Arabidopsis thaliana: one gene and its partner. The protein of the gene in region 1 purifies or fractionates together with the protein of each later gene. This does not show direct contact. Each region holds a gene or a part of one and is shown on either strand. Other genes may lie near its edges.

The links. Proteins that work in one complex are often made in the same cells at the same time.
Region 2: the proteins of AT5G38890 (region 1) and GTB1 fractionate together in Arabidopsis thaliana (co-fractionation; one large-scale study listed by BioGRID). This does not show direct contact.

Annotation. Positions count from the first base shown.
Region 1 is NC_003076.8:15,566,110-15,573,465, reverse strand, and holds AT5G38890 (Nucleic acid-binding, OB-fold-like protein), read right to left. Parts: upstream 4,049-7,356; 5' UTR 3,960-4,048; coding exon 3,807-3,959; intron 3,671-3,806; coding exon 3,596-3,670; intron 3,499-3,595; coding exon 3,410-3,498; intron 3,326-3,409; coding exon 3,241-3,325; intron 3,011-3,240; coding exon 2,929-3,010; intron 2,660-2,928; coding exon 2,568-2,659; 3' UTR 2,297-2,567; downstream 1-2,296. Other genes in the region: AT5G38895 (RING/U-box superfamily protein), read right to left, coding at 151-183, 412-521, 780-1,182, 1,263-1,512, 1,830-2,011, 2,162-2,191; AUG5 (HAUS augmin-like complex subunit), read left to right, coding at 4,662-5,179, 5,764-6,303, 6,619-6,760, 6,960-7,130, 7,354-7,356.
Region 2 is NC_003070.9:24,311,090-24,316,567, forward strand, and holds the start of GTB1 (global transcription factor group B1), read right to left. Parts: upstream 3,551-5,478; 5' UTR 3,443-3,550; exon of another isoform or gene 3,370-3,442; intron 3,290-3,369; 5' UTR 3,239-3,289; coding exon 3,208-3,238; intron 3,084-3,207; coding exon 2,991-3,083; intron 2,780-2,990; coding exon of another isoform or gene 2,738-2,779; intron 2,476-2,737; coding exon 2,346-2,475; intron 2,108-2,345; coding exon 2,044-2,107; intron 1,940-2,043; coding exon 1,789-1,939; intron 1,711-1,788; coding exon 1,590-1,710; intron 1,507-1,589; coding exon 1,269-1,506; intron 1,171-1,268; coding exon 982-1,170; intron 908-981; coding exon 800-907; intron 708-799; coding exon 321-707; intron 248-320; coding exon 140-247; intron 34-139; coding exon 1-33. Other genes in the region: GLC (HXXXD-type acyl-transferase family protein), read left to right, coding at 4,786-5,247. UniProt on the Arabidopsis thaliana protein: Transcription elongation factor that enhances the transcription elongation by RNA polymerase II (RNAPII).

The sequences.
Region 1 (7,356 bases):
AGTCTATAAATTAAGAGACATCACATATTTACTGTTAAAAGGCATCTGGATATTCACAGGAGTTTTATGTACAAGTGATTTCTCTCTGTTTATTCTTTTGAGCAGGACTCAGACGCCATTATGTTCTTTGAGCAAGTCTTTATTACAATGCTAAGAAGTTTCATTTTCATCAAATGCCATCACCTGAAAGATTAGAGTGAAACAATTAGGTATGGATGCATTAACTCCAAAAAGTTAACTCATCTCATGGTTCTCTATATGACCAATAATTGTATGAGAAATGGACCACTACTTAAAATGGGGATATCAAATTCTAATACAAAATGATGCACTTTTAATATCGATGAAGGAGATTGATGGAACATTCGACCAAATCCGGGTTTTAAAGTTTTGTAGAAAGCGACGAGTTACCTTTCCACAGACGGGGCAAGTTTCACTTCTCTCCATCCATTCATAAATACAGCTAAGGTGGAAATGGTGAGAACACTTGGTGATTATCTTCGGATTCTCCAAAGTGTAATCTGCATATTGTTAAAACAAAGAACTATGAAACCAATATTACCTTAATGCACTCGCAACGATTGCCTCATCTACGTAAACTATACTATTAATGGCCTAATGGCTCAGGACTCAGGAGTGCACTAAATGAAGAAATGAAACCAAGAAAGCAACTTATAAAGATCTACTAACAACCTAACACACTCTTTACCAACAAAACTGCATATAATAGGTTCAAAGAGAATAATAACAATAGCATCAAACTAATTTTTTAGTATTACCATCAAGGCAGGTTGGACAAATATCTTCATCATCCGAATCTGCATAATAAACTTCTATCCCCGGCATTGTTTTCGACTTTGTAAAGGTTGATGAACCTTTCGTATACACTTCTTTCGAACCATCTTCAGAATCAGACTTACTCCACTTGGCTCCACCATCACCCAAAGCTTCAGAACTCATTTCAGTATCACCTCTTAACGGTTCTGATTCTTCACCTGAATGACTAGAGCCCTTAACAAAACGAAAGTACCTAGGATCAGCATCGTAAGGCAATGGTGTTGGAGGAGAATGATATACACTAGACAGAGAGTCATCAAGTGCAGTTGTTGAATTCATCACTGTAGCTGTCTCTACAGTTGAAGGTATTGGATGCATTCCCCCTCTACTAAACAACGAAGCATACTGCCCAAAAAAAATCGAACATAAAGTTTTAACTACAAAGAAACAAAAGATTCGAAGACGAAAGTGAAGAAGAACATTACCAAATCCATGAAACTCTGGAGGAAGCAATTAAGGCAAGGACAGTTCCTAGTTATGGAAGTGTTTGGATTCACATAACTCTCAAAGAGATCAACTTGAAAGCAACAACAGAAAGCACCCATATCTTCGAAATCAATACTTTCAAATTTCACAGAGAATGAGAGAGGAAAGCCAATTTCACAGAAGATTTTCACTAGCTCCCGTAAACCAGAATCCTTCCTCTCTCTTCTTGGTGCAAAACTCTTGTTCCTCCTACACAGTAGAATCACCTGTAAGAGAAACATATAACATTTCTAAAACCAAATGAATAACTAAACTTGAATAAGCTAATACACATCACAAAACTATACAATTCGAGCAAAAAAAAACAGTTTTTTTAAGGATTCATTGTTTAATGTACGAGCAAAAGCATCAACCTTTCAGATAAAAAGCATCAATCCGATGAAACCCAAAAACCATCATAAGCTCATCGATCAACATCAGATGATCAGTAATGAATGGTATCAAAATCCAATGATCATCAAAGAAACTTTCAAAGGAAAACAAAAAACAGAGGAATCGATGAGTACCTTTGTGATAGAGACCTGAGAAAATCCAGAAGCAAGAGAAAACCCAGGAATTTTCCGGTATTGACTAATTCTAAAATTGAAGATTTTTCAGGTTCGTCGAAAAAGTGCAAAATGAAGTTTCCTGAATAATAGCGATCCTTTCTCTCTCGTCTTTGTCTTCTTCTACCTTTTGATCCATAAGCCTTTTTGGTCGAAATTTAACCAGGGAAAAACAGAAAGTTTCGTAAATAGTCCCTTTAATTTTACATATATTTAGTTATGACCCCAAACGTTTCGATTATAAAGCTTAAACTTATTCTAATTGTGACCCATACATTTTTGTATACAAAAACCATTTCTTTTCTCGGCAGCACCAAGGGCATACAGATTTACATCTCTTAGGAAGTTTGTTTCTTGATTTTCTGCTAAGTTTTTATACTACCAACTCACCAAGAAATTGCGACAATCGAATGAATTTTTAAGTTGTTCCGAGCTAAGCCTAGCATTTCCACATTGTTGGAGTTATGGATTTATGTTCAAATTCTAACAACAAAATGTCTTTCGAGTTTAAGAAGTTGTAAGTATCCTAATAATAATAGTATCCTGACTATTGTCGAATAAAGGTCAAGTTGGTCTAAAGTTATCTCTACACTTGATAACAAACAACAGAAGAGCTCAAAATTGTAATAATCTCAAATGTCTGTCTTGCTGCAGAGACCACACCTCATTATGTGAGAGAAGCCAAGTGTTGTCTTGAATTCAATTACCCACCTTGGCAACTTTTCTCTGCTCGGTTTGGCCCGACAAGGGGCACTGCATCTCTGTCCAACTTATCGGAACCATTGTTTCGCCTGCACAATCACCAGACCACATAAACATTTCGATTACTCAAACGGAAATTAACTTCGTATAGTATTATAAACTGCCCAAAGAAGCAAATGCATCTACACATTAACATACTCCAAGTCCAGGACGAAAATATTTGTTACTCATAATTCCATAATGAGAACTACAAGTTAGAAATGTATTACAATTTGATATGTGATAGATTAGCTATATAATTAGTAATCTTTGCCCTCATTACCCTTTATTTAGTTTCTAAGAGTAGGAAAAAAATTACCCGCAGCACTTTCAGCTGAGACCACACCAAGTTCATTCTTAGCAGTTGACAAGTAGTAAGCCCGTGCATCACCAAGAGACAGCTTTAAGAGTCCAAGTTAAGGCAACTTCAGATATTATCACCCAAAACATCATCTATTATTATAGACTACACCTACGCTACATTCAAATTAAACTATACAAAGAGATATGTAAGTAAAAAGAGAAAATAAATGGCATAATGTAACAAATCTTAGAATTGTCTCTCCTCTAATAAACAATGTTAACCACTGTACTACTAGACAATAAGTGTGAAACATAAGCGCAAGGATACAACCATAGCTCTAACAATGTCACCAGCATGGAAAGACTGATGCATGTCAACTTTGTCAATCTCTGTTGCTCTAACATCTTGTTGCCTATGAAAGAGCAAACACAAGTTAGATCGACACATAAAAGAACAAACCTTGAAAATAAACACCAAAGGAGGATGAGAAATTCACCTAATTACACCAGCAAAATTTTCACGAACGGCTTTTGAACCAACACACAAGATATCAACAGCAGCCATCTTAGTCATAACTTTAGTCACCTATCACGAATAACAGAGAATAGTGAGTGATGAAATTACTCTCTTTTTTTCCAAGTATGAACATCAATGAATCCAATGAAATAAGTGCAGGACTCACTCTTGCTATGACAACAGAACCAGTCTCTGGAATAGGACCATGTGCCTTGTGACCTGTAACTTCCACAATAGCTCTCTGCTTACCATTTTTATCATCCAATAAGTTATATATCCATAACAATCACAAAAACAAGTATAACAATCCAACGATTTCGATTTCGATTACGAATAGATGTGCCAGAAGAATTAATCACTTGGAACAAAGACGAAACCTGATCAATTGATTCGGGAAGAGGAGAAACAATCCGGCAAGTTCCTGTGAGGGAAGCGTAGATGGTGGCGTCGTTGACGTAAGCTCCTTTTCCAGCTTTAAACTCTGTCGCTTTCCCGATTACATCTCCCGGCGTTACTAGCCCCGTCGTCATTGTTTCAAAATTTTCCGATTTGAGAGTATCAAACAAAACCCTAGGAAGGAACCTCTGGGTTTTAGATTGAGAAAATTAAAACAATTCGGAATCCATCCCTTTAGTGTTATATAAATTCAACTTTGACCCTAAATGTTCTGGTTGTAATTTTAAACTATTCTAATTTTGACCCATAGTGTTTTCTTATTACCCAATTCGACCCGGTTAGACTTAAATACCTTAGTCCGACCCGGATACATCTCATACCCGAGTCCGACGCGGTTATTACCCAGTTTCAACTTTCAACAGTCGACGACACTTGCAGAAAAATTCGAGTTTGATTCCTTTAATTGAAAATCCAATAAACAAGCGGGACCTCGATTTGAAATCTCTTTATCCAGATCCATCTCTCCGTCACAATCTTCCATCTACCGTCACCGGAACCGGCGAGTTAGTCGTCGGGATTCCAGATCTGTTTGTCTACGTCTTCCTTCTGTCTCTGTGTTCATCAGAGTACCAATTCGCTCGATTGTTGCTGCATTTCGCGAATTGTATTAGGTTTATAGCGTCTATGAACTCCTGTTTTCGCTCGATTTGAGTAACCTAGGTATTTCTCTACGTTGATTGTTTGGATTTGAAGAAAAGGCGCAAAGTATGAGTAGAAATTTCGGAAGTTTCATGAAGATTTGAGGGATTGAGTTAGGTATTGTAGTTGTAGAGAGAATGCAGAGTTTATCGAGCTCGGCTCCGACACCGGAGGCGATATTAGAATGGTTACAGAAGGAAATGGGGTACAGGCAATTAGGTCCGTATAATGGATCGAGCAAATCTCATGTTCCTTCTATTGATGCTATAAGGAAGATTTGTAGAGGGAATATGATACCTATATGGAATTTTTTGATAAACCGAGTGAAATCGGAGAAGACAGTGGAGAGAATTAGGCGGAATATTACGGTTCATGGGGGAAGTAGTAATGCTAGCATTGGGAGTTCGGTAAATCCTGGGAAGGAGGAGAGTAAGAGTAAAGGAAGGCGGAAGGATAAGACAGTGACTGGTGAGAGTTCGAGTTATGCGGAGGATAGAGAAGCTGCATTGCAGGAAAGGGAATTAGCTGCAAAGGAAGTGGAGAGATTGAGGAACATAGTGAGGAGGCAAAGAAAAGATTTGAAAGCTAGAATGTTGGAGGTCTCTAGAGAAGAAGCAGAGCGGAAGAGGATGCTTGATGAAAGAGCAAATTACAGGTTTGTTTTGAATCTTTCAATTTTGAATACTGTATTTGGATACATTGCTTCTCACTTGTAAAATAATACAATAGAAATAACCTGCACCACTCAGCTCAGGTTCATTTAATATTTTCTCTTGTTGTTGTTATGCTTTATTATCGTTAGTGTTAAGTCCTCAACAGAACCATTACAAGTATGGTTGCTATGTGTAGTATGGTTAGCTGCTTAGAGTTTTGGTGGTATTTCGATTTCGTTTCTCTATGATTTCAGGAGCCATAGATATATAGCCCTGAAGTATTCTTCTTTCGTTTTGTTGATTCTCCAATGATTTTAATATACCCTAGAATGGAATATATGGGATTTAGTCAGGCTATTTTGTTTCTCTGGTTTCATGGATATGCCACATCGCCCATTCTTAAGATTCTCACTTTTGTATGGCGATATTGATTGTCTTTTTGCCCTCTTCATGAACCTCAATCAACAGCATTTATCTATGTTGAAATGCATTGATTCTGTTCATACAACAAATCAAAATATTTGTTGTAGTTATGTTCAGTAGATCTTTCAAATTGTTTAGTGAGTTTTATTTTTCCTTTTTTCAGACACAAGCAAGCATTGTTGGAAGCGTATGATCAACAATGTGATGAAGCAACAAGAATATTTGCAGAGTATCACAAAAGGCTACAAGTCTATGTTAATCAAGCAAATGATGCACAACGGTCTGTCAATTCATCGAATGAAGTGTTAAGCAGCCTCAGTGCTAACAGTGAGAGGGAAGCTGTTTATTCCACTGTCAAAGGAACTAAGTCTGCAGATGATGTCATTCTCATGGAAACAACCCGAGAACGAAATATCAGGATAGTATGTGATTTGCTTGCATCACGCATGATTGAAAGAATACGTAACTCCTTCCCTGCATACGAAGGAAATGGAATTTGTTCACTTCCAGAGCTGGAAACTGCCAAGCTGGGTTTTGAGTATGATGGAGAAATAACTGATGAGATGAAAACTGTTATAGTAAATTCCCTGAGGGGTCCTCCTCTGCTGCTTCAGGCTATTGCTGCATACACTTTACGCATTAAGACTCTGATATCCAGAGAGATGGAGAAGATTGATGTCAGAGCAGATGCTGAAATGTTAAGGTGTGTCCTGACTTTCCTTCTTATGCCACTCTTTGTTATTGTGCACTCCTGATTCTGCAGGGTATGGTTCACCCAAATGCACCTTGCATGCTATTTTTGCTAATTTTCTTGACACACAAGTGGAAGATTATGAAACTCATATAGCAAATTAGTACTTATGCTGAAGTTCCTGGACTCCCTTTAAGATATGTCTGATCAATGATAATTGTATCTCTGTCTCTTATAAGTTTTCAGTTTTCGTCTCTGCTTTCTTAAGTTCTTGTTCCAGGGTTGCTTTGGACTAACATAAGCAATTGGATGTCAATCTATTTGCAGGTATAAGTTTGAGAACAACCGTGTAACAGACAATTCTTCTTCTGATGTGAGCTCCCCTTTGAGTTATCAGTTTAATGGAAACGGGAAGATAGGCACAGATACTCATTTCCAAGGATCTAACAACCAGCTCCTTGAACGGCAGGTTGCTTTCTATGTCTAGTTTTGCTGGTTTCTTCTTGTTAATTTGAAGATATGGAGAAAGGAGGGTTAAGCTTCAGGCAAATGTTTAATTCAGAAAGATATGTTTTGGTCTTCTAGTGCTGTATTTGTATATGTTGCACTGTATGGCTATATGTTTAAAGTCTGTTTATCTTAACTTTCACCTGTGCTACTTTTTCCAGAAAGCCCATGTTCAACAATTTTTGGCTACTGAAGATGCACTAAACAAAGCAGCTGAAGCTCGTGATTTATGCCACAAGTTTATTAACCGTTTGCATGGAAGTGCTGATACAGCTACTCATTCGTTTGTTGGAGGCACAACACAGAGTGGTAGCAATCTTAGGCAATTTGAGGTAGATGCCAGACTCCCTTGGTTTCTTTAGTTTTTTTCCCTTCACTTGAATCTAAAAAGACAAAATCATGTTCCTGTACAAATCTTACAATCCAAACACTCTTATACTTGTTATGTAGCAGGCACTGCATGACTGATTCTCAGTTATCATTAAAGTTCATTTTATGTTTAATATATATGCTGATTTACTTGCTTGAACAAACGATCCGATTTTATCTTTGCAGTTG
Region 2 (5,478 bases), on another chromosome or scaffold:
GACTGATGGCTCGCAACTTATCTCAACTGCAGCCTAACAAGGAAAAATGGGATATCTCCGCATTAGTGATTAGGGAAGTCCTTCTGATATTAAACCCAGCTAAGCAATTCAAAAAATAGTATTATTGCAGAGTATATACCATATGCCGTGCACCTTTCAGAACTGCCAGAGAATTTTCAAACATTGCGCACACAAAGTTTTTAGCCATCTCCTCTGGTGTTTCCTTTGCATCCTCAAGCTCATCAACCTGCAACTCATTTAGCGTCAGAACTGCCATTCCAGTACAACATGCAAATCAAACAATATAAAAGCATACCGACCAGTTTTTCTAGGGACAATGCAAGTCCCAGTTGCTCAGCACTATACCCAAATTTGTTTGCAACCTCCCAGAGCCCTGCTTTACTGCAGATGCTATATTGTGATTTCCTTTTCGGCCTCTTATACTGCCCTTCATCAACACCAATTTCACCGGGAGGAAAATGCAAGTTGAACTTGGAATCTACATCATCAACTTCTCTTTCTGTTTCTGCAACTTTAAGAGACTTAATGACTGATTCAAAAAGATACTGATTTAGATTAAGTCTTGTTTCATCATAGACCCTCCTAGACTCTTCTTCGTAACGTTTTGTATAGTAACCATGCAACGCCATTTTCCTTTTTCGAAGAAGGAGCCACTTCTTATCCAAGTCATGAATCATCCAGAAGACCTGCATTGGAAAATAGTATAGAATCCACCAAATTTCCTCTGACAATAAATGTTAACCTGAGCACTTGTTGTTTATCCAAGATAATTGCTTACCTTATGCCACTTGGTCTCAGGTTTCTTGCCTTGATTGGCGCCATCAAAATCACCAGTGTCCAACAAGCTCCGGCATTGCTCCTTTCGGTACATAGCTATAAACGGTATCTAGAAGAGACAGAAAACATTAGCAAGCTAATCAATGAATCAAAGAAAATCCAACGAGAGAATGAATCCAAAACCTCTAATTTCTGCACATGATGTAGCTCCAAAAATTTTGCGATGTCATCCTTATTAACCGAGAAACCCCGCCCATCAAAAGTTCCATCAGATTCTCTAAGTTGGGAAGCAAGTTGAGCATATATCCAATTGCTTTCTTCTTCAATGCTAATTTCATCTACAGGAGGGCTTCCGGTGCTTTCTTCAGATATCTGTCAAAGTTTACAAGATATCTTTACATCTATCCTTGAACACCAAAGAAAACATAGACCACAAGTATACATAGAGAAAACTAAAGAAGATAATGCACCTGCATTCTCTCAGGAATATCAAGCTGGCGGATTTCATCATCATTCCCTGTCATATATTTCTCAGAAAGAACAGTTGGTTCAAACTCATCTTCGAGCCTTCTTTCCATCCTTTGATTAGATGCCAAACCCTTTTTGCGAATTGTTAATAATTCGTCAACATCACCAAATATTTCATTAGCATCTCGCATAGCAGTAATATCTGATCCCTGCCTATATTTCTTTTTCTTCGAGTTGCCCCTGAAAAGTAAGTTGATTAGAATCAGAAAATGTACATGACATAAGTGATATGTTAGGGCACAAAAAAGACAGAAAAAAAATACCTCTTAGGAGGACCATGCTCATCATCTTCATCTACAATAAAATCTGCCATTTCATCCTCGCTCCCAACTACATCTTCTTCCACAACTAAGTCTTCCTCATCACCTACATCATCAGGTGGATCTAGTAGACACAAAATGTACATAGTCAACTATGTGCCAACAGTCAACATAATAGTATCAGAAGGCACAGAGAACCTACCATCAACATCAACATCATCAAACAGCCTGTCTTTGATCTTATCCTCAGCACTTCTCCTAGTTCCACCTCTACTATCAAACTCATCATCGGATGATTCTCCCTGGCCATTTCCCTGTTCCCTTTGAGCTTTCTTCAACCGCTTATACTGCCTCTGTCATGGTTCAAGAAAAAAGTCAAATGTATTAGTACTGCACATATATTTTTAGTGTATCTACAAAATCCTGATGTATTGTTATATACACAAATATGACTAACCTTTTTGAATTTGACGTTGTTATCTTGTAGAAGCAAATAATCATCTTCATCAAGACCTTCGTCCCTATTAAAATTATCATAAATGGAAGGTTAGTCAGAAAGAGAACAGACCTGCTATAGTTCGTCTAATGGTAACTTACATACTCATCACAAACAATGTATGAAAATCACAAATAAAGACTGCTGAGAATTAAGGGAACATTTCTTCAAAAGTATCATGCATGTCAACACTAACATTTAGTTTTTCATATGTTAGAAAAGGATAAAATCTAAGAGAATGAGTAAGGATATAAAATATTCACTTTTTCTTTCGTTTCTTCTTCTTTTTCTGCCTCTCCTCATCGCTATCTTTCCTTTCTTCGTCTTCTTCCTCTTCTTCCTCTTCGTCTTCATCATTCACTATGAACCCATCATTCTCATACTCATTCCCAACTACAAAACAGATATACGGATCCCACATCATGGAACAAAAATAGCCTGAATCTAAGTTAAAAAGCCTAGAAAGAAAAAGAAAAAAAAATACTCAAACCCAAGGTGAGAGAAATGTGTGCAGCTCAAAACTTGCAGAAACCATGAAGTCTAAAAAGGAACAAATCAAGCAACCGTATGAAACAGAGAATATAGAAACAAGAAGTGGTAGAAGGAGAGACTTTGCAGCAGATAAGTAAACATCTAAGAAACAAGATGCATTCACTTTTTTTTTTTTTTTGGTTGCCAAATCCAGACACTGCATCTTCTAATGGAGCAAATGCAGCAGAATTTCTCCAAATGAATCGATTTTAAGACAAAGAACTGCATGCGCTTCAGTACTAAACCAAACCATACCACTAATTTCCTTCGATGCAATCAGACTCTACAGCTTCCAGATTTAGGGTGGTAAGCAAAAAGAAACGAAAGACGACACATTTCTCACTGGGAGAAGTCAAAATCAAGGAAAAAACTTATACCGTCATCATCATCTTCTTCATCATCGTTTTCATCATGCTCAGCTGGATCTCCATGAACTGGCTCTCCGTCGTCATCCTCAAGCTCATGATCCTCTACGCAAAAGAGAAAAGGATTCAATTTTTTCATACAAATCAGAAGAAATAAACAAAACCCTAGTATTATTACGGCGTTTCACACAGAAAAAAATTAGGGTTTGCGACGAAGCGATTAAGGTACCTTCATCGTCAGAGATTGCGTTCCTCGCCATGTTTATCTCAACAAATTAGAAGTACGATAACGCAGAAATTAGCCCTGCAAACTGCAAAAAAAAACGAAGAGATTGTGATTATGATTTCTGATTTTGCGAAGAGAAAGGGGGAAGAAGGTTCTCGCGATTACTAGGGTTCTTCGAAAAGAGAACCCAGAAGGAGCTAGAGAAGAGAAATGGGTTTGGTAAAGGAAGAAGCTTTACCAGTGTGAATTTTTCATAAGCGAAAGGCGACGAAGAACTGATAAACGAAGAAGAAGACGGAGACGATGAAATTACAAGTTTATACTGACAGATTTGCCTCAATTTTTTCTCTGCGTTTTAGAAATATTTTTTTTTTAATAATGTTTTTAAAAATTATTATACTTTTTGAAGAAATGTAAAGAAAAAAAAGTCGAGACTAAAAACAAAACAAAGTTTATTCAACTTATCTTATAATTAGAGTGGAGAATATTTAATTCGATAATTCGAAATATAAGAAAATAGACATACATTAATAATTAATAAAAAAACGTTACATCGGCTAAAATGTTTAAACAATTATTTAAATTTATATGATAAATAAAATTAAAATAAATCTAAATCGGATTCAAATTTAAAAGTTTGTCTATAGATTAATTTAATTTTTAGTTAAACAATTTAATTTTATCAAAAATATAAAATTTTAAACTGTGAAAAAGTTTTAAATCTTATAATTGATATATTTAAAATTAAATAACAAGTTGATAATAATATAAACATTTGGACATATATAAAAATAAATATAACACTAGACAAATTATATTGTAGGACAAATTTTACACATGAGGCCCTAAAAACTTTTTATATTAGGTGGCCTAAAACAAATGTTTCGGCTTTTTTATGAACGGGCCGGGCTTGGATTCGGCCATATTTTGAGTTCATGCCTTTTAATATGGCAAGAAAAAGGTTAGAAACTAGACTAATTGTAGATTGTAAGTTTGTAACCGTAATGAGATACTGCAAATGGGTAAAAATCGTATTATTCCATAAACCACAAATGGAGAAGTCAAAGTTTGGCAAATATCACAACAAAAAGGTTGATATATCACATGCATATTATGTAGCTACACCGACATATCAAAGTTCTCCTATCAAATTTTAAAAAACATAAATCACCAACCCTACTCACACCCACCAATGCAGCCCATCATTCTTCCCAAATCTATAAACACAACACAATAATACAACAGTGACAATTTTAGCTTTTAAAGAATAACGTTTTCATGTGACTGGATAAAAACGACGTCTACGTAGCACGAAACTGCTTTGTTTGTTCTTGTAACGATCCGTACCATATCTTTTTTTATTAAAAAGTCACATTTATTATGGGATCAATAATTTACTCTCCATGGATTATTTCATACTATAATGTACACGTACATTATCATAAAGCCAAGATAAAATTAAAAACGCCTTTTACTACGTGTTAGTCTATATAATATAGATTAAGTCTGAAACCCAAATCACAAACTTCACTCAAAACCTAATTAACTTAGAGAGAAAGAGAGAGAGAGAAGGGTTGCAAAATGGGTTCTTCGTACCAAGAATCTCCACCGTTGCTTCTTGAAGATCTTAAGGTTACGATCAAAGAATCAACACTCATTTTCCCATCTGAAGAAACCAGCGAGAGAAAATCCATGTTCTTATCCAACGTCGACCAAATTCTCAACTTTGACGTTCAAACAGTTCATTTCTTCCGACCTAACAAGGAGTTTCCACCGGAGATGGTCTCGGAGAAGCTGAGAAAGGCGTTGGTGAAACTCATGGACGCTTATGAGTTCTTGGCCGGGAGACTCCGCGTGGATCCTAGCTCTGGACGGCTTGATGTTGACTGTAACGGTGCTGGAGCTGGCTTTGTGACGGCGGCGAGTGACTACACGTTGGAGGAACTTGGAGATTTGGTTTATCCAAATCCAGCTTTTGCTCAATTGGTTACAAGTCAGCTTCAGAGTTTGCCCAAAGATGATCAACCCTTGTTTGTCTTTCAGGTAACCAATAAATAAACCTTTGCTTTCTAATTTTTTTTGTTCCAAAATGATCCTAAATCTAGTTAACAAATAACAAGTTTTTTTTTTGTTCTCTTTGCGTTTTGTCTTTTAATCAGGAAGAAAGAAAAAAAAAATCAAAAGTTTTGAGTGTATAAACACAAAGAAGCTTCCTTAGAATCAAAAAAATTTCGAACATGTTCACAATAAATTTTGTGAACTTTTAGCTATTTT